Astyanax mexicanus: one gene and its partners. The protein of the gene in region 1 purifies or fractionates together with the protein of each later gene. This does not show direct contact. Links are inferred from orthologs where the notes say so. Each region holds a gene or a part of one and is shown in the gene's direction. Other genes may lie near its edges.

Region 1 (7,622 bases):
AGATTTGATGTGACGGTGACAATAAAAGTATTACACATTTTATTTTCAGTTAAAATGAGAAGCTGGAGTGTTCAGCTTTAGCACAGACACTCATGTTAATACTGAAAGTGAAAGCACGTGTTGTATTTGGTGGGAATGAGTAACAAGTGGGTTGTGCACTAAAAGAGTGGGCTAAACAAGTGGGGGTAAGGATAGAAATGTCAGCCTGTACAGTGCCTATGGCAATGAAATATTAGCTAGCTCTTAAAAGTTATTAGATGTTCTAGGGATGCACCGAAGTAAAATGTTTGTGCCTAAACCGAAAAAAAAAGACATTTTTAAGTTTGCTGCTTTTTACAAGTAAAAATATTAAGTAGACTTGCTTTTCAAAGACACACTAAAGATTTTAAATATCCCAGCAGACAAACCAACCAAGAACTACACTTTACCTCAGTAGTGCTATTCTGGCCATACATTTATTTCAGCAGTGCTGTTCTAGCAAGTCATAAACTTAAATTAACATAAATTTCTAACTAAGTAATTATCTTAATATATAATTATATAATATATAATTATATTTTTATATATTATCCCTGTAGTTTGCTCACTCTCTACACATCAGCTTTGCTTTAAAAAATCCTAACATTAGAGTAAACACTGCCGTTTTACTTCAGTGTACCTTCAGTAAATTATTCTGTTTTTATTTTTTTGTCTGAACACCTAAAGTGCTTTTTATTTGCCATTTTTGGCTGAATTCTTTCGGTTGCCAAATATTCTGTGCATCCCTAGTAGTATCTTTTTTTTATTATTATTAATGATGTATTTGTAATACATGATCATGGTCAAAGCACACTGCTTTGAAAATCCTGTTGCCTTCTGCTTTTATCAAGGGTCTTCTGCCAACGTTGTACACAGCTAACTCTTCAGGGCTACTACAGCTAACTGTCAGCCAGCTTTCCTGTGATAAATGAAACTGTGAAATCAGGGTTGACCTTTATAACCTGTTGTTTGTCATCTCTCAGTGACCTTTTTCCACACAATGATGTCAGAGTTCACATTCTCAAGCATATATATCACTGCTGTCTTAATAAATAAGCATCTCCAAATTAATGTATATAATGCTCTTAATATTTAAATAGGAAAAAATATAAATTCAGAATTTCTGCATAATTCAGTTCAATGATTAAGATATACACAGTCATTCGGAGTGATATGATGTTAAAGAGAGACTTATTATGACTTTGCAATAGTAAGTACAGTGTGATTTGAATTCCAGTGGTTTTGATTTAACACAGCATTTATCAAAATCAAAACGCAAATCACACAAATGTGTATGTTGTATAAAATTGGATAATTCCATTCAAAACTGAAATATAATATAATATGCTGAAAATAATATATAATATAATATATTTGTTGGTTAGTAGATATGGTGCAATCACGTTTAACACCTATAAAATTCAACACATTCTTCAATAACATATCAGGGTTATGCAGTGTTTGTGTTGCTGAATAATAAGCTAATTAAAATATTAATGTATTAAGGTATTAGCATGTTTGTGTTTATTAACTCACACAACCACTGTGAAGAGTTCTGACCTGGGAATCAAGCATTTGACACTCTGAATGTCTTTTGGTATATATCTTAATTATTTAATTATGCAGAATATATTACCCTTAACTTTAATGTGAGCAATTCCTATCTCTATTTCTATTTCAGTTTATTGAACCGTTTTATATGACCGCAATGATATTAGTAAACTTATGGGCCTGAATTGTGCCTATATAAGTTATAGAAATATTATAGCTTTAGGAAAGTTTTAGTTTCAGGAAATCCTGGAAGTGGAAGAATTTACTTTTATTTACTTAATTTTCAGTCTATTTTTTTTTAAAGGAGCATTTTTGTTTATTTGTTTGTCTGTTTATTAAAGAAACACTGGACCAATCTGGAACTGTGAAGCTGGTTGCTCCAGTTTATGATGTCTACCTACCAACAGTCTTTCTCATCATGTCACGTTTAACCTGTGGAGTGGTTTGTTATTTTCAGCTGTGAGAAAAAAAAAATGCTTGTGAACGCTTTATTGGAATTAAATGGATTTTCTGCAGGAAAAAATGTGATTTGATCTACGTCATGATAAATAAAGACACTGTTATTTAACAAATGACACACAGAGTTCAATTCAATTTTATTTCTATAGCGCTTTTTACAACAAAGCTGTCACAAATCAGCTTTACAGAGAAAAACAGGTCCACGCCCCTTCCGAGCAGCACCACAGAGATGCCAATTTTTATGGTGACACAGTGGCAAGGAAAAACTCCCTTTAAGAGGAAGAAACCTTGGAAGGAACCAAGACTCAATCAGAGGACCCCATGCTACTTGGGTTGACCCGCTTTACATGTTTCATAGCTTGGCCCAAAGTTTACCCTGAAGTTATAAAGGGTGTTGCAGTCATGACTGTAGACTGTTTTTTTTCATGCAGCTAGCATTCTTAAAGGCATGGTTTGTTTCAGGTTAAGAAAATGTTGGAAAAAGGTAAGATGAAAATGAATTGTTTCTGGTTTTAGTACATATACCACACAAATGTCATAAAATACAAGAAACATGAATTTGACAGAAAACATTTTAATGCATTTTACCCGAATCACAGTTCCTCACTGCACATTAGGCAATTTGGGATCACACTTCTGAGTGTGAGAAAAAAAAGTAAATCATTTCTGCACTCTGCTGTGAACATTTTATTATTATGTTTCTAGATTTCATGCCCTTAACTACAAATGTTCAGTATACTAGGTACTGAATATTTTTTTAAAAATGTGATCGGGACATACCTAACTACAAATCCAAACCAAGTCTTAATGAACATTTGCTTACCTAAGGGCTGGGCGATATTATAAAAATGATTTTTTTTAATATTCTTCATTTACAGCAATTCTCAACTAGTTCTAACATAACTTCAGTATTTTGTGTAAACAGTGATTCGCAAGCCATTGTTTTCATTGCATTAAAACAGCAATTTCGATTACCCAAGTTAATTTGATTAGCTTACCCCATTGGCAGATTTTTTTTTTTAATATAAGTATTTACCTCTCAATATAGATAGATTTTGTATAGTTTTGCCAATGGATTTTTTTGCAGTCTATGTTTGATTATTAACTGCTTTAAATCCGAAACAAGTGGCATCAGCATCGTCTTTTCCCTTTTTTCTTTTTTTTTTTAGTTTTAAATCTTCTTCTGAATTAAAATTCACATGATCAATCCAATCAGTAGCAAAACATAACAACAAACATAAACATACATATAAATAATAAATGAGAGGGACATTTATGAAAATATTCATAGGGATTTGCAAATATTTGCAGCCTTTCTGTTTGTCCAATTTGTACTCTATCCAAGTATAGTTTGAACAAATGAAATTATGGAGTTTCCTTTCCTCGATTTTCAGATTTTTCCATTTTTGTATCTTGTATCACAAATCTGACCGTATAATCCAACTAATTTTTGTTACAAGATGTAAAAAATGGAAAAATTCAAAAATAAAGTTTTTTTCCCTAAAATTCTGATTGTGAGTGGCAGAGAAGGAAAACTAAGCATTATAAAAATTGAGTGAAAACTTATTTCTTCTACACTGTACTAAATGTGAAAAATAAATAATGAGTTTTTACATGCAAGTTAATTTTTTTTGCATCTAGCCTCAAACGGTCAGAAAATTGAATTAAGTAACGTTCCACTGACCGTGTAACACAAATCTAATGGTATAATCCTTACAAAATGCAAATTTGAAAAATCAGAAAATAAAGAAAAGATTCCTTTTTAATTTTTCTTAAAAACCCGATTGTGAGGTGCAGAGAAAACTAAAATGGGAAAACGTATTTCTTGTACACTAAACTACATACAAGTTAAATAATTCGTTTTTACATCTAATTTTACATTGTTTGCATTTAGCCTGAAACTTATCAATAAACGTTGCACTGACCGTGTAGAACAAATCTGATGGTATAATCCTTGCAAAATGCAAAAATGTGAAAATAACGTTTGTTTATTTATTTATTTTTTTATTATTATTATTTATTTTTTAGCGGCATTTAGCCTCAAACGGTCAAAAATGTAATTAATAACTATTTATTTTATTAGTGCTATGATAAATGTCTCTTCTCTGAAAATGTGTGCAGGTCTGTGTGGACGTCACGCGCCCGCCCTGCGCTCTACGCCAGCAGCTCGTGCGCTGCTTGGTGCTTACGTCGCCGTTTCGAGTGGGAGTTGGAGCGAGTGTGCTTTCATTTGAGAAACGTCGTTCTGCTCCGAGTTTAACGGAAAACGGGCTCCGCGCACGGACTCGGGCTGCGTTTCTGCACGTTTTTCAGCGCGCTGGTCTCGGAGGGGGTCGGTTTGGAAGACAGACGCCGCCGGTCACGATACGAATACAGGAGAATATGAGCGTAGAGGCGTACGGGCCGAGCTCGCAGACTCTCACCTTCCTGGACACGGAGGAAGCGGAGCTGCTGGGAGCCGATACCCAGGGCTCGGAGTTCGAGTTCACCGACTTTACCCTGCCGAGCCAGACCCAGACACAGGGCCAGACCCAGAGCCAGCTGGACAACCAGGTCTCTAACTCCCATTCCTCTGCGTTTGGTGGAATATTAGACCGCGAGGTGGAGTTGGCGTGGGGGGAAAACGGAGCTGGCTAGCGGAATTAACGCTAAGCTAACCTGTTAGCTAACCTAGCTAGCGGGCTTGTTTATTTTCTGCGTGTTAAAAAATAGCGCTTTAGCTTAGCTTAGCTTCGTTAGCATCCAGGCTAGTTGGCTAACCTAGCCTAGCTAACCGTGCCCGTGTTAATAATGGCGTAACCTAGCTACCTACGTTAGCTTAGCTTAGCTAGCTAACGCGCTTTTAGCCTCGCTGACATTTATTACAGCTCTGGAAAAAAAATACCACTTCAGTTTGTGAATCAGTTTCTCTGAGTTTTGCTATTTATTGGCATAATATTTAGTAAAATGAAAAATGTTGTTATTCTATAAACTACGGACGATATTTCTCCCAAATTCCAAGTAAAAATATTGTCATTTAGAGCATTTATTTGCAGAAAATGAGAAATGGCTGAAATAACAAAAATATGCAAAGAAAACCAGTTCATATTAGTAAAGTTTTAAGAGTTCAGAAATCAATATTTGGTGGAATAACCCTGGTTTTTAATCTCAGTTTTTATGCATCTTGGCATGTTCCCTCCACCAGTCGTACACACTGCTTTTGGATAATTCCTAATGCAAAAATTCAAGCAGTTCAGCTTGGTTTTATGGGTTGTGATCATCCATCTTCTTCTTGATTAACTTATTCCAGAGGTGTTTAAGTGGTCGCTTATTTTTTCCAGAGCTGTAAACATAGTTACCTAGCTAAGATATACTTTAGCGTAACACTATATTCTAAACACTACTAGCTGGACTAATACAAAATATCATCTATTTATTCCTGTTATTTAGGTTTAAACTGCATATCAACGCTCTAACTTTCAGCTAACAGCTAGCTTTTTGGCTGGTTTGGCTAAGCAGTCAGCTTTTGGCAAAAGTTAGCCAACGTTAGCTAACGCCACAACCGCTGGCAAAGCCATGCTAAGCTAGCTAGCCTAGATAGCTAACTAACAAACCACCCTAGGCTACAGGTAACAAACTAGGAACTCCTCGCTCCAATATAATTTCAATTTACACTTAAAATTAATTTAAAGCATTCTTTCTCATGTTTACTCCTGCAGAACATAAGTAAACAACCATTACTCATTTTAACCCATAACATCCCAGACCCACTTCTCAATATTGATGCCAAATTAAATTTAGTCAAGTAGTTAAATTCTTTTTTCATGTCTTTTAATATTAATCTAATTTACAATGTATTACATATGTCCAGCACTCTACTGGAAAATTTAAGTTTTATTTATTCTATTTCTTAAAATAATGTCTTATGTTTTCCCTTTTATTTTAATGCCTTTTAGTGTTAATCTTAATATTAATAATAAATAAATTAAGAAAAATATTGAATTTTTACCAGACTTTTTACTATTACTGTATTTATGTAGCTAATTGTATGTATTTGAGTGTCGAAAAAGAAGAATTATATATTTTTTGGGGGAGGAAAAAATATAATATTTGGAAGCTTGTCAGTCACTGTCGATATAGCAAACTCAAATTTAAATTTTGACTTTATAACACGCTTGTAATTTGAATCGGGTGTTTTAGATAAAGAAAGCACCCAAAATGCAGGGTAGTAGGAAGAGGTTTTCAGGAGCAGAGATGAAAGAAAACCACTGCTTTAACATGATTAACAAAAGTGGTCTAACTGCAGAAGAAAACAATATTTTTAGTAAGTTTACAAGAAAAATGTAAGAATACTAACAGCCAAATGTACATGTTCCTGCACATATACATAGTTAGAAACCCCTTGTACACATCATTGTTTTGAACATAGATATGCTATGTAACATTATATTAAAAATACATAAGGTATTGTATGGCATGGAAAGGTGCAATAACCGAAAATTATGCCATAGATGGTTAATGTAGTGTTAATGGACTATGTTTTTTCCTTGAATCTCATTTTAGTTGATAATTTTGCAGATTTCATGCCTTTATTTACAAATGTCCAGTTTACCGGATACTGAATATTGAAATGCATATTTAAAAAAAACTAACATGCAACATTTATTTATTTTATTTTTATTTATGTACATTTTATAATTTTAAAGACTGCAATGCATATCATTCAACACAAATGTTTTAATTTTTTAAAGTGGCTAAGGAGGTGGCAAAGCTACATTAGCTATAAGTTAGCCAGCCAGCAAACCTACCAAGTCTATAGGAGAGAATTTCTAAATATTTCTCTAGCTAGGTTTAAAGGGGACATGAAACACTTCAAGTATTTAGTTTAATTCACAAGATGTATTTTCACTCTAACAAATTTTAGAAGTTTAACAGTTGTCAGTGAAGCGGAATTAAAATAATAAGCAATCTAAATGTCATTTTTTTAAGTAAGGGCAGCGCCATCTTGTCCCAGCGCTGAAAGTGACGTCACGAGGTTGGTTCTCGCACGCCTCACTACTATAATCTATGAGAATACCGTAATTTAGCTCCTCAATAAATAATAAAATCCAAACCAAAACTCAATGCAGAGCGGGGGGGCACTTTTGTATTGCCCCTGTGTGTAGTAATATTGGGAGTAGTGAAATTTAATAGGGTGAGGAATGAGAAATATTTACTTTCACTTTCATACCCTCGCAGCGCTGAATCGTGAGAATCCTCCGGTTATCTGCAACGCTAGGGGTTAGTGGCGAGCACTTTCTAGACCAGGACTATGTGAAGGAGAGGGGTTTGAGTCAGGAGCATTAGCGCCGGATAAATAAGCTGCAGTCCGAGGCTTTTTTCCTCCGTTTTTTATTTTTCCTCTGATCAGCTGAGATGTACAGACCGTCTGAATGGGTAACGTTACTATGAGAGCAGCAGCTGTGAGCCGCACCAGCCAAACAACACGCCCACCCAGCAGAGCAGCGAGAGGTACCGTTGCCGAAAATCTAGATAAAATGACAATTTAAAGATAACATAGCTAGCGTTAGCTACTTAGCTAGCTATCTTATTCTAGCTAGCCAACGCTAGCTAAC
Region 2 (7,954 bases), on another chromosome or scaffold:
CAAATACACTTGAGTAGAAAAGGGAGTCTTATAAATTGAAAGTACAAATCCATCAGTTTCTCTTAAGCACATTTACAGGTTACAGATTTAGTAAGTATACCTAGTTACTACTGACTACTGTTGTCATCTTTTGTCTCTGCCTGCCACCTTCAGGAATCTTTCTTCCAAGACATTGATCTACTTCAGAAGTATGGGATTGTGAGTATATATACAATAATTACATTTTTCATTGATAACCACAATATTATATATATTAGTTTTCTCATTCATGGTGTTTTACTTCCACAGAACATGGCTGATATCAAGAAGCTAAAGTCTGTGGGAATATGTACAGTAAAAGGGATCCAGATGACAACACGGCGTGCACTCTGCAATGTTAAAGGCTTGTCTGAAGCAAAAGTGGACAAGATAAAGGAAGCTGCTGGGAAGTTGTTGGTAATCTTCCTTTGCAGTCTTCTTTTGGAAGTGTTTTTAATTAACTATTGAATTGGTATAGATACAAAACTCAAGACCCGAGTCTAGTTTTCTGGGGTTGTTTTTTTGTTTCACTGCAGATCTCTGGATTTCAGACAGCTTCTGAGTACAGTATGAAAAGAAGACAGGTGTTCCATATCACAACAGGCAGTCAGGAGTTTGAGTAAGACGTAAATTACTGTTAGACATTTAGCATATCACTCACATAAGCAGTTATTAGACTCATTTGGACATTAACTACTTTTCTGGATATATCTTTAATATTAAAACTGTTACATCACACTGCAAAAGACAACAACACATATCCCTCTATCATTTAAATAAAGTTTTTACACACAATTTGAGTAATATGTTGTTTCTATATTATGAAATATCATAACGAAAGAGATCATTGTATTTTTTTTCAGTAAACTTCTTGGAGGGGGAATAGAGAGCATGGCAATTACTGAAGCCTTTGGAGGTAAGCTGCAATTTGACATTGTTACCTCCCCCCTGCCGTATTTTGTCTTTTAAGCTGACTCTTTATTGTTTTAACATTTATCTAGAGTTCAGAACTGGAAAGACACAACTCTCTCACACACTGTGTGGTAAGTCATACAAACATCCATGTAAGTATTATGCATGTTGTGTCTGAGTTAAGAATGAACCTCCGTCCTAAATCTTGCTCTCTGAAGTTACCGCTCAGCTTCCCGGTGAGGATGGGTACACTGGAGGGAAAATCATTTTCATCGACACTGAAAACACTTTGTATCCTTCATAGCTTTTCCTGTGTTTAATGCATGTAATATAGCTGCTGTTGTTGTGGAGTTTTCCCTTTATTAGTAATGCTCAGTCGCCCAGACAGGCTAAAGGACATTGCAGACAGATTCAATGTGGATCATGAAGCTGTGCTTGATAATGTGCTGTATGCCCGAGCCTATACCAGTAAGACTTTTACATCACTTTTAGACTAACAGAGTTGCTGTCAGTTTGTTTGCAATTACTGTTCTGTATGTCAATATTTTAGGTGAACATCAGATGGAGCTATTAGACTTTGTTGCTGCTAAATTTCATGAAGAAGCAGGGGTCTTTAAACTGTTGGTGAGTGATATAGGAAAAACAAAACATTATATCATTGCTGTCCTTCAAATCACATGTATGTTTTAGCATTTTATAGTAAATGGACCAGAATAATGATGTCAATAATTTCCTTCCCTTCTTACATTTTAATTTTGGAAATACATGGATTTGTTTGCAAAGCGACAATATAGGAAGTGCACATATAGTTGGGTTATTGGTTCACTGTTTGAGGTGTGATTATTTGTGTGCTGAATCATTTAATCTTCATTTTAACTGGATAATTATTGAGTGTTTTTTCTTTAGATCATAGACTCCATCATGGCTCTCTTTCGGGTGGACTTCTCTGGAAGAGGTGAGCTGGCAGAGAGACAGCAGAAACTGGCACAGATGCTCTCAAGGCTTCAAAAAATCTCTGAAGGTCTGCAAAGTGTCTCCGTCCTTACTCTCTTTTCATTTATTGGTGTAAACTAATGAACCGACCAATTGTTTTTCTGTTTCAAGTAACTGTATCTTTTTGAAAGATACAGATTGTCTTAATATACAATATTATTGTCATTTTAACATCAACATTTTATGCCACTGATATAATAATTCTATAATAGCTTAATAATGCATTTACGCATTACTTTCAAAGAGCAGTGAGCTTTTAATTATCAGGAATAGTCAGACAAAAAAGTTTTAATATCCTAAATAATTAAACTGTAAATAAAATAAAACCAATGTTTTTAAACAAAGTTAATTAGTGTTAATAGGTTTGCATGCTAAGTAAGCACAATGTGCAATATCAAGGGCAGCACAAATGATTGAGGTCCTATCCATATATTGTCAATAAGACCTAGAATAATTAAGCAAGATATAAAGGAAACACGCTGGTATAAAAATTCAAAGATATTGCTCAATTCATTTGATAGAGTACAACGTTGCAGTGTTTGTGACCAATCAGATGACAGCAGACCCAGGAGCTGGGATGACGTAAGTGTAAAAAATAAAACAACTTTCTGTAAACTTAGTAAGCTATGATTAGTCTCCAGTGACTGTTTAAATGACTAGTGACTCTGTTAAAAAATGGAAGCTGTATTATGGTGCAGCGGCTGACGTGAAATCACTTTGCTGTAGATTTCAGGCAGATCCCAAAAAGCCCATAGGAGGACACATCTTGGCGCATGCCTCCACTACTCGTCTAAGTTTGAGGAAAGGACGTGGTGAAATGAGAATTGCCAAAATATTTGATAGGTAATTCATTTTTGTGACTATACCTCTCACATACATTTAAGGTAATTAAGAGCATAAACTCAAAAACCTGTTACTTGTGATTGACAGATTGACATAGCTTTCTTTTCTATTATAATTAGATGTATTATTACATTGCATTAAAATGTTTTATTAAATTAAACAGCATGTTTTTAACTCTGCTTGTCTTCTTTCTTTAAGCCCCGACATGCCAGAAAATGAAGCCACTTTTGCCATAACACCTGGAGGAGTAGCAGATGCCAAGGAGTAAAGGGACCACTCTGTGTCCTACACACAGGGTTAAATAAGATTTAATAAATTTAGGTTAACACACATGTAATCTTAATATTTATTTATTTATTTATTTATTAATAGTTTACAGATAATCTGGTTCTTTTTATGCATTAGGGTAAAGTTTGATGTCATTTCAGCATTGATTGTGTACTGAGCTATGCTTGATGTTTTTCAATAAACTGTTGGAACTGTTGGTTACTTAGTAGCTGAAAAATCATTCTCGTCTTTCGCGTTTTTGTTTAGCTTGGTCAATAAGTAAATTTAGTGACATAAAGAAAAATGTTGTTCCCAAAGTGATCCAAGAGAGCCCAACTATGGGCTGATATACACCAGGTGTATACCTTATAGCAATGCAAGGCAATGTACATCACTTCTCCATAGCAATGCATAGTGATATAAATAATTATTATGAACAGATGAAAAAGAGACACATAAAATAAATTGAGTGAAAGGCTTCCACCTTTCTTTTACATAAAATGGTTCATAGGGACTTTCAGAGTTCAAGTTTGTATTGTTTATCTGATTTTTTATGTTTAATGTTGTATTGGTTTCAAAGTAATTGCCACATACAGGAAAATAGCACATTAATTAATCTCAAAAACAAGCAAAACACCTTTGTTGGTAGCACACCCAAGATAATGAGCACCAGTGTTATAAGCTCTTAAAGATTCTATAAAATAAATAAAGCAATAAAACAGAAGTCTAAAAAATATTACATATCTACAAGTCAGTCAGATTTAAATATTCTACTGCCTTTTCCCACATTTCATAGTAGAATTTATATTTTGGGTCAAAAGAATGAAAGTAAAATTGTTTTCTTGCCTATTAATGCAGAAGATAAAATCGTTTAAGCTACTACTGTGCTAGGTTTACATATAGAGGTGTTACCTAAAACATTAGATAAATGTTCAATAATACTTTTCCAGAAAGGTATTACACATGGGCGTGAACATAATATATGGAGAAGTGACCCTTCTTCTTTTTTTACATCTCCAACACAGATTTGACACATGACCTTTGATTATAACCTTAAAAACATTATTTACTGACTTGAATCCAAAAACAAACTTAAACTTAAATTCACTGTGACTTTTATTCTCGCTGCTATAATGTAAAATGCTATATTTATACAGGATTTTTTTTATTATTATTTATTTATACATTTTTATCTTAAGTAAAAGAATGTAACGTTATGATAAAATGTTTTAGAAAGGTCAATAACCCACTGATATATGATATATTTTTGTTGTTTGTTTTGTTTCATAAGAGTGACGTCATGCAGGCTCGTGTGAATGAAAAAAATGAACGTGAAACTTCTCAGAAATGGATATTTGTGGGTTACTTTGAAGAGTTGCCCGTTTGGTGGCCATTTTCGGAGATCGTGTCCACCACGGTCGCTGTCTTCACACACCCCTGTCTCTGGGTTCGCCCATGCAGGACTGTCTGTGGTGGTGCTGCTGCTGCTGTCGTAGGGAAAAAGAGCAGGCGCCTCATGCCGTAGACCAGCCGCCCCTCCGAGCCTCTCCGCGCCCCTGAGCCCGCACGGTGACCCGGGAATAGCTGGTAGAATCAAGGCAGGCTGTTTAACCGTTAGTCAGGTGTTGGCTTTCTACTCTAAGTTATCTGTTCGGCTACAGTACGGTAGTGGAGCACTAATGGACTCCAGAGACACAGCCCCGGATAGCTGGGAGCAGGAGGACGATGTGGAGGCCCCGGACACGGAGCTGCAGTCCGCCTTCACCGGCCTGAACGTCAACGCTCCTGAGTTCGTCCCTTCCTTCATCCCCAGAGGAAACGCTGGAAGCGCTGGGCAAGACGGTAAAGACTGTCACAGGGCTCGAACAGACGGGGTTCAGCGCTGAACGCCAGCCTGCGGGTTCACTGCTCTGGCTAGCTAACCAAATGTTAGCATTAGCTAGCTCCGAGAGGTGGGTAACCTCTCGGAAAAATCCATCCCAGGTTTTTGTACCAACTGCCTGGGTGGCTCTGTGTATAGCTTAGCTGCAGCAGAGCCGCATAGGCAGTTGGTACAAAACCCTGGGATGGATTTTTACTTTGTGGCCCTGGGTTACCCACCTCTACTCCAAGAAGGATGTCGCTATGGAGAGTGTTAGCCAGTTAGCTAACAGTTAACTTAGCTAGCTAAGACGCCGCGATAAACAGCTGTTCACATGAAAACAAGCATTTTAAGAGATAAACCAGCCTGTAGGAGAGGACAAAGTGTAAGAAATAAAATGATAACACTCTTATTCGTCTGTATAATAAATGTCCAGATGTGTCGTGACACTACAGGCGTGTAACTTTCTCCATTTATAGCAGTGGTGGAAATAAGCAGCTAGCTAAGAGTTACCTTAACGGGCCAACAACAGCGTTCATTCTGAGGCTGGCTAGCTAGTTCACGTAGTTAACATAGCTAGCTAACAGCTAGTCGTCATTAGATGTAGTGCTGTTCTAATAAATTTATCTATTTAGATAATAGTATGGTAGTTAGTTATACCAAGTCTGTTTTCAATAGTGGAAAATATTAGCTGAAAGCTAGCTAGGTTTGTAGTTAACATCACAGTAGTGACAAACAGGTGTTCTGTCGAGTTATGCTACCCATCGATACGTGCTTCATAAAGGCACTGCGCATGCGCTGACGTACACGTTTTCATTATTTCTCGTGTTTTTTTTAAATAATAATACACCTGGACTCAGTCATTGCACAAACGTGTAAATGGAAATTAATAATATTAATTAATAATTATTAATAATATTAATACTTATCAATAAATTAATAATAACAAATACAAGAATTATTATTTAAAATATTTATTATAAATATTAAATAAAAAGACGAAAGCTGTATGTAATGACTTCTCATTGCCATAACTTGACCATGATACAGTGCTTTATGCTATACAAATATACTAACGCTACCTCTACTGGGACTCCTACTGGGAACATGCTCTAATATAAGTTCTTCTTTTGTATATTTACAGTTAAATATACACTAGGGTAGCATGGTTTGACAAGGTAGCACAACTCGACAGAACACCGGGTTAGTGTTAATGTATTGCTGGATAAAGCTGATCTGTGTAGTTTGTGCCACGTAGCTAAACAGTATTGTTATTTAGTCTAGCTAACTTGCTATTAACAGCTATTACTTGAAAGCTAATTATCAAAAGCTAATATATTCTGTGGGAGGGAGTTTCATGGTTTGGCAGTGTACCTACAGTTGAATGCAAAAGTTTGGACACCCTTGTTTAGTAACTGGCTTCATAAGACCTCCTACAAGAATTGCATAACCCTGTTATATTACTCCACTATCTCAATCCACATGCTTCTCTCACTACATACATTGGTTCTGTATCTCTCAGCTTGTCAACAGACCCTTGTGTACAGCTTTAATAAAGAATAAATTGTATTTACTGCAGTGGTGCAAATGTGGATTACACTCTCCAAAGCACAGGGAGTTATTCTCTGTAGATGATTTGTTCACCTATTTATACCTAGAAAAAAGCTACAATTTAAAGTAGCCTCACACCTTTTGTGCTTTTGTTATTCTGTGTTTTGACGGTCTTATACATAGTTGTGTATAGAATGTTCTGTTCAAATCAGTGTTTTATTGGTCAAACACATTTAACAGCATTACTACTACACTGTTACAAAAGCTGTCAGTTTATTTGCAATATGAACTGAGTAATTGCATTGTATTTCTCCATAGGTACAGATGCAGTTGCACACATGGAGATTTCGGAACCAGCAGGTGGGTGTTCTTTTATTTTTAAAAATGTGTATATAGATATTTTTCGCCTGTTTTTTTTTTTATCAGCACAGGCAAGTCACAGTTGTCATGTTCCTGCTGGTTGAGGTGTTGCTGTACTGTTTCTTCATTAATGTTAGTTCAACCATACAGAGGCCATGTGGAGACTGTTACATCATCCTTGCTGTGCACCCCATGTGTACTCAAATTACATGCATTCTCTCCACTTAACTTGTGCAAGCACAGCCAGCTACATAGTGAGTGAAGTCATCCGGTTCACAGCAGGTTTATCTATCTGTAACCAGGATAATGTGATGATTTGGCCCATGTTTAGTATCTTCTCACATTGCTTCTGAACAGAGGGAATCAAGGAAAATAATTGTAAAATACTTTGAGATACATTTTGTAGACTGTCCTCTCAGTAATGAGTGCAGTTTAGTAAAAAGCACAGCTTTAGGCAGGTTATTGAAGTGTGTAATTCCAGTGACCAGATCACAAGCATGTTGCTTAATCTGTTGCCAATGAAACTCTTTATCATAGCATTGTTAAAAAAAGTTTAACCGAACATGTGGTCATCACTTCAGCTCAGAAGAATAGGTATTCTGGCTGACCCAGGCAGGCCTGAGGTCAGCCAGGGCCAACCTGTCCCGCGGGATCAGGAAAGCTAAGAGGCTGTACTCAAAGAAGATTTCCCAACACTTCAGTGACAGCAGAGACACACAGAACCTGTGGCAGGGTATCCAGTCTATCACAGGCTATAAACCACATCCACAGACCTGCGACAGCGACACGTCTCTGCTGAACGACCTGAATGGGTTCTTCGCAAGGTTCGAGCCACTCAACAACACACCCGCCCAGAAATCCATCCTTCCTCCTGGTGACCAGGTGCTGACGCTGTCCCCAGACAGTGTGAGGAGAGCATTCAGCAGGATCAATGCTCTGAAAGCTCCTGGGCCTGACAACATTCCTGGCCGTGTGCTGAGAGACTGTGCCTGGGAACTCGCAGAGGTTTATACTGACATTTATAACACCTCTCTGAGTCAGGTGGTGGTTCCCACATGCTTCAAAGCCACCACCATCATCCCTGTCCCAAAGAAGGCATCGCCATGCTGTTTCAATGACTATCGTCCAGTTGCACTCACCCCCATCCTC
Region 3 (8,088 bases), on another chromosome or scaffold:
CAGCAGCAGCAGCAACAACAGCAGCTGCAGCTTCAGCAACAGCAGCAGGCTTCCCCAAGAGCAGGTACCCCAGTCGGGATGGGGGTGGTGCCTCCCCCAACTGCTATGGGGATGCTAAATCAAGCCATGCCACCTATGCCAGGTAACCCCAAATCCCATTCAACCCCTTTCCCCAAGACAATCAAGATGCAGCATCTGGGCACCCTCCAAAAAATCCCTTCATCTACTGACCTCATCCATAACCCAACTCATTCCCAACATTCATCAGTTATAACACACACGCCAGCACCCCCAAGTGTATCTAATATGCTTTGGTTCATAATGCTGGCGATTTTGTATGTATTGAGTGTGTAATAATTGATACTACTTCTGTTTATTGTTTTTCTTTTTTTGCATGGTTTCTGTCTTTCTGTAACATCACATGCAAATACTACTTCTTTTCTGTCATTTGTCTCTCCTAGGTTTGACACTTATGGCTCATGTTATTCATTCTAACTCACTCCTCTAGACTTTTATTTTGTAGTGCATGACTCCAGACACATTTGCATGTCACCGATGCATGGATTCTTTTGTGTTGTCTCTCCCTTCTCACCCAAGGCATGATGGGAAATTATGGCCCACCCTTCATGCCTATGCAGGGCCCTCCTGAAGGCATGATGGGTATGGGTGGCACGCCTCCTCACCCTATGGGGGTGCCCCCGCTGCCCCCTCAACACTACTTTCCGCCGGGCATGGCTGGGTACCCTGGTATGCCCCCTCCTGGTAAGAACAATCCCACAAGCAAGCAACCCACCACCCAATCAGGGACAAAGTTATGTTATAGTAAACGTCACTTTTTTACCCTCTATGACAAGAATGATATTTTAGAAAAGTAGAAAAAGGTTATTTTTTTTTTAAATAAATGTTTTGAAGATTGCAGATAAGAATCTTATATAAAATGTAATTTCTATTTTCACTTTTCGTAGCAAACTTAGCATTTTAATCAGATGTTTTAGAGCAAAGAAGCATGTATTCTTCCTGCATAATGGTGCCTGAAGTTTACAAAATAAAAAATATTGGAGGATATAAACAGCAGAATATACTTCTCTACATATTCTTACATAAAGGATTTTTTTTTATTGGCATGTCGTGTAGTTTTGAGGCTGGTGTGGTGGTGTTGGCTATGTGTGGATACCTACTTATTTAAATATTTCTTCTAGTCCTTCTAAAATATAGGCTAAATAGATAGCTCTGTATAGGTAATTACAATTATATGTTCTATTTAGAACAAAGTAAATTAATAATATTTTTTTTTACTGATTTATTTATTTATTTATGTATATACTCAAATTAAAACTAAAATTTTTGACTAAAAAGAGAATCCAGATTTCGGCATGTACCTTAAACATCTGTGAGCATTATTAAAAACAAAAGCAAGAAAATTCTGTCTTAGACCATAAAGTAATGTGGTCTTGCATTGGTGGCTGGTTTGCAGTAATCCGTGTGGCAGTAAACTTTTTTTTTTATTTTATTTTTTTATTTTTTTTTAATATAACTGCAATTGTCATAATTGATTGATTTATTATTACAGGTAGACGAATCTGTCTCATTCTCCCTTTACTGTGATATTAAGTTGCTGATGATGGCAGTGGTTTATTGTAGTTATTTCTCACTTTCTCACCTATCCAACTGTTGGACTTCTTTACAATCTTTACAATTTGCACATGCAGTCACCTTTATTCTACTAATAAAAGTTAGTTCTGTAAACACCAACTAACACACCAAAGACACACATCACACTAATTTACACCTTTTAATCAATGTAGACACATTTAGCAGTTGCTATTTAAATAAGCAAATCTATTAATAATCTAATGGATCGCCAAACGTCACCATCATTTTCTTTTTTTGATCTTTTTTTTAAAGGTGTATTGGGCCCTGTTATGAATGGAAGTCCTGGTCCAGGAAATCCTTACGGCCTTCAGGTGAAGATTAATTTTAAATATAAATTTTACTATTTACTTTGCCGCTTGTACAGGTACGAGTAGTACAGGTACATTTGAATTTGTTTGTACTCATTCCTCAGGTCAAGCATTTTATAAAGTTTTAAGAAACCTATCCATATATACATATTGTCTGTAGATGACCGTTTAAATACAAGTGTGCAAGATATCAGTATGTCTACGATGAGCACATAATTACAAAATGTGCGGGTTATAAAACAATGTTGAATTTGTGTAACAAAATAGTGTATCTGCTTAATACAGTAGACTAATCATAGTTTTCTGTTATCTTATTATCCCAGTCTTACTGTTGTGTGCAATCAACCTAACTGAAAAAAGAAAAAAAGCTGATTCTGATTGGTCCGTGATGTCTGAGGCTGTTTTCTTGATGTATTTTAATTTTAGTTCTAATGCTGTCTATATGCACAGTGAACTGCAGGTCTAATGCTGTTTCCTTTTGTAGATGGGTGCATACGGTCCAGGGCAGCCAGCTCCACCGCCATATCCAAGCCAAGGTCAACCTGCTCACCAGCAGCCAGTCATGCCCATGTTTGTTGCTCCACCTCCCAAACCACAGAGGCTCCTTCATTCAGAAGCCTATCTAAAATACATAGAGGGGCTTAGCGCAGACAGCCCCACAATCAGCAAATGGGACCAGAGTCTTAAGGGTAATAGAGAAAATTAAGTGTCCAGATTGAAACCTGTTTATTTATTTTGAAAACATTGTTACAAATCAGTTTTTGCTTTTTCATTTTAGCTCAAAGGACAGACGGTCGCCTGAGCAGGGAGCAGGAGAGCCGTCTTCCTTCTCACTGGCTGAAGAGTAAAGGCGCTCACACCACAATGGCTGATGCGTTGTGGAGACTCAGAGATCTGATGATGAGAGACACTCTCAACATCCGGCAGGCCTACAATCTATAACCCTTTAAACTTTTGATGCTCAGGATCCTAATTTATGCAAGACTATACTTCAAACCAAATCTAATATCCTTTCTAAAGCAGCTGGTTGCTCAGTATGTTTCATAGCAATAAAAGAGTTCATCTTATTTTGTTTAGAAGTAAAGGTTTTAGTAATATCCGTGGTTACATTTATTAATGCACTGGAGTTGTCACAAATGCATTAGCTAATTTATAACTACTGATATGGAGTTGTCATATCAGCAGTGACTGAAATTTTTAGAAGAATTAAGATGAAATATGGTTACGTTGCTTCATTGTTTTGATCAATACATGTATTTTATTGGCTACACTTTTGTTGAGTTGAACAGATGTGTAGCGCTAACATCTCAGACACTGATATCTATGAAATATGTCTCTGGCTTTAACCACTTGAGGTCTTATTTATGATGTGAACACATCAGGTGGATTAATAATACAACAAGGTCGTATTTTACCAATCTTTTTTATAAAGGTGCAGAATAAGCTCTGTTTATCATTATTTTATTGATGTGATGTTTTTTGCATTTTGTATGGTCAGAAATAAGGCAGATGTGTGAGTTTGTACTTCAGTCCTTACCTGAATATTTCCACATAAAATTGACAATAAGAAAATACACTGTTGGTTTCTTTTCTTTATTTAAGCAATCGTGACTCTTTGTCATAAGGAGTATATTAAAGCCTCAAGAGTTGTACAAACAGTAGCAATAGAACTTAAAATGCAATGCCAAAGGGAGAATGGTTGTGGATTTAAAATATAATTGTCAGAAAAAATTACTGACTTCAGCAAGATGTGTACAAGAAAACAGGGTTAAAACATATAATATAATAATGTAATATGTATGTTCTGTATGCTTGTATTCAAGGATCGTTTCAAAAAGAGATCTCAACCCAAGCTTTTTACTTAAGTTATTGTATAAAAGTACTGGTTTAGCTATAGATATATAACAGTACCAGTCAAAAGTTTGGACACATTGTTTTGACACCAAAGCTGTACAGTAACATGTGGAATCATCCTGTAAACATTAAGGGTTAAACAAACCAGAATGTTTTTTTTTTATACTTTAGATTCCACATTTAGATACATTACCTTTGATAAATACAGTACTACTTCTAGAATGTTATCAAGAGAAAGATGGATGGTCTCAAGCGACTAAACAAAGCTGAACTGCTTGATTTTTTTTGCATTTTGCACTCAAAGGCAGCGTGTAAGTCTGGTGGAGAGAGCATGCCAAGACATGAAAGGTGTGATTAAAAATCTGGGTTATTCCACCAAATATTGATTTCTAAACTCTTAAACAATAAGTGTTAGTGTTTCTAAATGAATATGAGGTTGTTTTATTTGCATTTTTTGTTTGTTTAGATTATTTGTTTCTCATTTTCTGCAAATTGCTCTAAAAGCTCTAAAATGAATATTTCTGCTTGGAACTTGGGAGAAATGTTGTCTGTAGTTTATAGAATAAAACCACAATGTTTTTTTTTTTTTTACTCAAACATTTAACGTTAGCTATAAACATTAAAATAAGAGAAACTGGTCATTTTGAAGTGGTCTCCCCCCTTCTCAAACCTGCCTCGCATGATGTCACATCCTGGAAGTGGGCGGAAAAATAGGCAATTCTCTTTAGTGTTTGCCCTGTCCACCTTCTCCGCTCTACCTCACCTACATTTTAATTCAGAAACCCCCACAAAAAGCCTCCCATAAACCTGGATCTAAAGCAGGCCAGTGCTAAAGCTCAAACCGCGTCACTCATGGACTAATTCCCGGGCGGACCTGCAGTATATAACCCGAGGTGAGGAGCGGTAATGTGGCGGCGCTGAGCTGCAGAGCAGGGAGCAGAGCCGCTAGGTTAACTAACGCTAGCTCTGTTAGCTAGCTCCTGCTTTTTTTAAGCCCCCACCGGCAAATACCACACTGTACAATCCTGTACCTATAATAATGCGTTAACTGTGCGTGATGGAGACGTTTTATAGGTCTTAGACACGCAGTTGTCATTTGGCTGAAGTCTTGTTTTGTGTCTTAGCTGGCTAACAAGTTAACGTTAGCTTAGATAACCTAGCCATAGCTGTAACAATAGCTAGCATGCTAACCCAGTCTTTAGCTAGTTAACGTTAGCTATTTCCATCTGTTCTCTCTGTTTACACGGTAACAGTGGCTGGCTAATGCTTTAATTTAGGTTTACTTTATTTTCCTGGCAGCTGACACATTAATAATACAGTATATGTATGTATCTTGAGGTTTAAAGTAAATGTAACCTAGCTAGGATAGCTATTGTTATCTGTCAAGTTGTAGCATATTAATAGGTTTGCAAGCTTAACTAGACCCCTATCCTTGATTTAGTAAGTTAAAACTAACGTTATATATATTTAGCTTACGTTACCTAACCTAGCTGTCTATTTTTCATTGTATATTAGCTCCGTCGTTCTGTGTTGTCAGCTGCCTGACACTTATTCATTAATCTAACTAACTAACTTGCCCCCTATCCTTTCTTTAGCAAGCTAAAACTATAGTGAGCTATATAACAGCTCTGGAAAAAAAGAGACTACTTAATTATGTTTTCCCCTTGATTTTACTTAATTAAAAACATCTGTAATATAATCAAGAGGAAGATGGATGATCACAGCCATCAAACCAAGCTGAACTGCTTGATTTTTTGTTTCACCAGAGGTGGCATAAAGTAATCAAAAAGCAGTGTGTAAGACTGATGGAGGAGAACATGCCAAGATGCTTTAAAATCTAATAAAAAACCAGGGTTATTCCACCGAATATTGGTTTCTGAGCTCTTGCAACCTTATGAATATGGACTTGATATCTTGATTGTAGTTCAGGGGTTTTCAGTTTGGTAAAATCAAATAAACTCATCAGTTTTAAGTGATCTCTTAATTTTTTTTGCAGAGCTGTCTATTTAGCTATCTAGCAACTAGCTTAGCTGTCTAATTCCCATTGTATAACTTTGTTGTCTTGTGTTGTCAGCTGCCTGACACATCATTAATCCTTTTACCCTGGTCTTCCATGGTCAAGACAGGACACCAAAAAGACCACCAGAGAGCAGCTAGGCTACACAGAGCTAAGCTACTTAACTTAACTATTGTTTGGTGGTGGGTCATCATCAGCATTGCACACAGTGATTCATTGTCATACTGACGTGGTGGTTATGTGTTAACCTAGCTAGCTAGCTACTGTACTCGTGTTGTTTTGAATTAAGTGGATCAAATAAACACCTCACCACCTCACTGTCACTGCTGGACTAAGAATATTCCACCACCCATAATTATTTAGACAACAGTACTGTAGAGTACAGTTTGTGTGTTCCATTTGTGTAGTAAACTAACAAAAAAAACTAAAATGGATTTACTCCTTTTACAATGGACAGCTAAAATATAGTCTGTAATTAGTTATAGAACTACAAAGTGTTCTTGTATGAATAGAGCTTGTAATGGGCAGTGAGTGTATAAACAAGAAGGTGGTCAGTCAATACATCAGGACTTTGATGGCGAATAAGCACAGGAGCAGTTACTTTTTGTTTGCCATCCCTATCATCAGACGTATTCTTCTCAATGTTATGTAAATGCATATTGATATGCTTTGATTTTTTATTTTATATTTACATTAGGTAATAAGGTCTTAATCTCCATCATGTACGGAGTGTATTTACTGGACACTTGAATCTCATTGCTGTTGTACGTTGAATTATTTAAACATCCTTTAACATTTTTTTTATTCCTCACTTCCTGCAGGTAGAGCTTTGCAGTCTCCTTCCATTTAAAACACCTGCATTCACCTTTCCCTTGCACATTCTTGCAACCTCTCCTGTGCGCTTTTCTCCCTCCACAAGACTGCAAAGCATCTTCTGTATCCACACAATCCAGTCAAAATGTCCCAGGTTCAGTTCCAGTCCCCCACCACCACCACCACTATGGCCAGTTCTGCCCCTGTACAACTGACCCCACCCCAGCCTGGGTTCAGCATTCCCTCTCCTTCTGGCTCCCTACCTTCAGAGAGTGCCAGTCATCCACTACGAAGCTCCGCCTTGCCCTCAGCCTCAGCCACGCCCTTCTGTAACCCTACAGGTGAGTGAAATGTATATAGAAGACTAAATATAGTAATTACGTTATAAAGATGTGGTTTTAGTGTACTTTAGGCTCAGAACCTGTTCTGAATGTGGGAGTTGGTCAGATCTTCTCAAAAATACAGAAGTTATAGAATACAATGTAGCCTAATATTACTGTTTCCACTCTGTTCTGTTTCAGTATCTAACATGGCAAACCCTAAAGAGAAGACCCCCATGTGTTTAGTGAATGAATTAGCCCGTTACAATAAGATCCAACCTGAGTATAAGCTTCTCAGCGAGCAAGGACCAGCCCACTCCAAGGTACCACATACACATACAGTTCCTGAGACTTCTCTTCTGTTTGCTTAGATTATTTCTGCATTCATGTCCCTCATTTTTGTCTTTCTCTGTCTCTGACTCTCCTCTGTTTTAGATATTCTCTGTGCGGTTAACTCTGGGGGAGCAGCACTGGGATGCAGAGGGGACCAGCATAAAGAAAGCTCAACACTCTGCAGCAGCTTGTGCTCTTGCCCAGACGTCGCTGCCCAAACCCAGCAACAGAGGACCTCGCCATCAGGGCAGGAACCCAGGTGGGTTCTACAAGGGCGAGTGTACGTTCTGTTACATTCAAATTCTATAGTCTGTGGCTTCCTTACCATCTTCAGTCAGAAGAACTAATGCATGTTTGCTTTAAATAGCCTTTCTTTGATAAAACTTTTAAAATCTTTACTGGTTCTGATGGCTTGTTTTAGTTTGGATTTAACTTGTCATTATTTCAGTACAACTTAATTCTTTTGAGGTTTACATTGCATGCTGCTTATGTTATGTGAAGGCCAGAATATGACTTTGACTTTAACTTCCTTTTCTTAATAGCAGACAGCATGACGCACACTGTGGAGCTGAATGCACTTTGTATGAAGTTGGGAAAGAAACCAATGTACAAACCTATAGACCCCTACCAAGGGATGAGACCTGCATTCAACTACAACATCAGAGCACCAGGGCCTTATGCCCGCTCCATGCAACAGTATGTACTCTTTCTTTTGAAACAGGATGTTTTTACAGGGTTCCTGGGGGTCCTTAAAAAGTCTTAAATTAAAATCTGGGTAATTAAGGCCTTA

Evidence for each region.
Region 2: the proteins of upf1 (region 1) and gspt1 purify together in Homo sapiens (affinity purification with western blotting; 6 studies listed by BioGRID and IntAct, with this or other methods). This does not show direct contact. The link is inferred for Astyanax mexicanus from reciprocal best matches to the Homo sapiens genes UPF1 and GSPT1.
Region 3: the proteins of upf1 (region 1) and stau1 purify together in Homo sapiens (affinity purification with mass spectrometry; 7 studies listed by BioGRID and IntAct, with this or other methods). This does not show direct contact. The link is inferred for Astyanax mexicanus from reciprocal best matches to the Homo sapiens genes UPF1 and STAU1.

The regions. Positions count from the first base shown.
Region 1 is NC_064411.1:48,585,097-48,592,718, forward strand, and holds the start of upf1 (regulator of nonsense transcripts 1), read left to right. Parts: upstream 1-4,218; 5' UTR 4,219-4,410; coding exon 4,411-4,581; intron 4,582-7,622. UniProt on the Homo sapiens protein: RNA-dependent helicase required for nonsense-mediated decay (NMD) of aberrant mRNAs containing premature stop codons and modulates the expression level of normal mRNAs.
Region 2 is NC_064422.1:23,693,907-23,701,860, forward strand, and holds the start of gspt1 (eukaryotic peptide chain release factor GTP-binding subunit ERF3A), read left to right. Parts: upstream 1-4,373; 5' UTR 4,374-4,712; coding exon 4,713-4,875; intron 4,876-6,763; coding exon 6,764-6,805; intron 6,806-7,954. Other genes in the region: dmc1 (meiotic recombination protein DMC1/LIM15 homolog), read left to right, coding at 154-198, 289-435, 555-637, 882-934, 1,020-1,061, 1,149-1,221, 1,307-1,398, 1,481-1,554 and 4 more. UniProt on the Homo sapiens protein: GTPase component of the eRF1-eRF3-GTP ternary complex, a ternary complex that mediates translation termination in response to the termination codons UAA, UAG and UGA.
Region 3 is NC_064412.1:10,366,748-10,374,835, forward strand, and holds the start of stau1 (double-stranded RNA-binding protein Staufen homolog 1), read left to right. Parts: upstream 1-4,507; 5' UTR 4,508-4,708; intron 4,709-6,653; 5' UTR 6,654-6,790; coding exon 6,791-6,986; intron 6,987-7,166; coding exon 7,167-7,288; intron 7,289-7,400; coding exon 7,401-7,578; intron 7,579-7,840; coding exon 7,841-7,994; intron 7,995-8,088. Other genes in the region: pbrm1l (polybromo 1, like), read left to right, coding at 1-142, 598-762, 1,906-1,964, 2,446-2,650, 2,740-2,903. UniProt on the Homo sapiens protein: Binds double-stranded RNA (regardless of the sequence) and tubulin.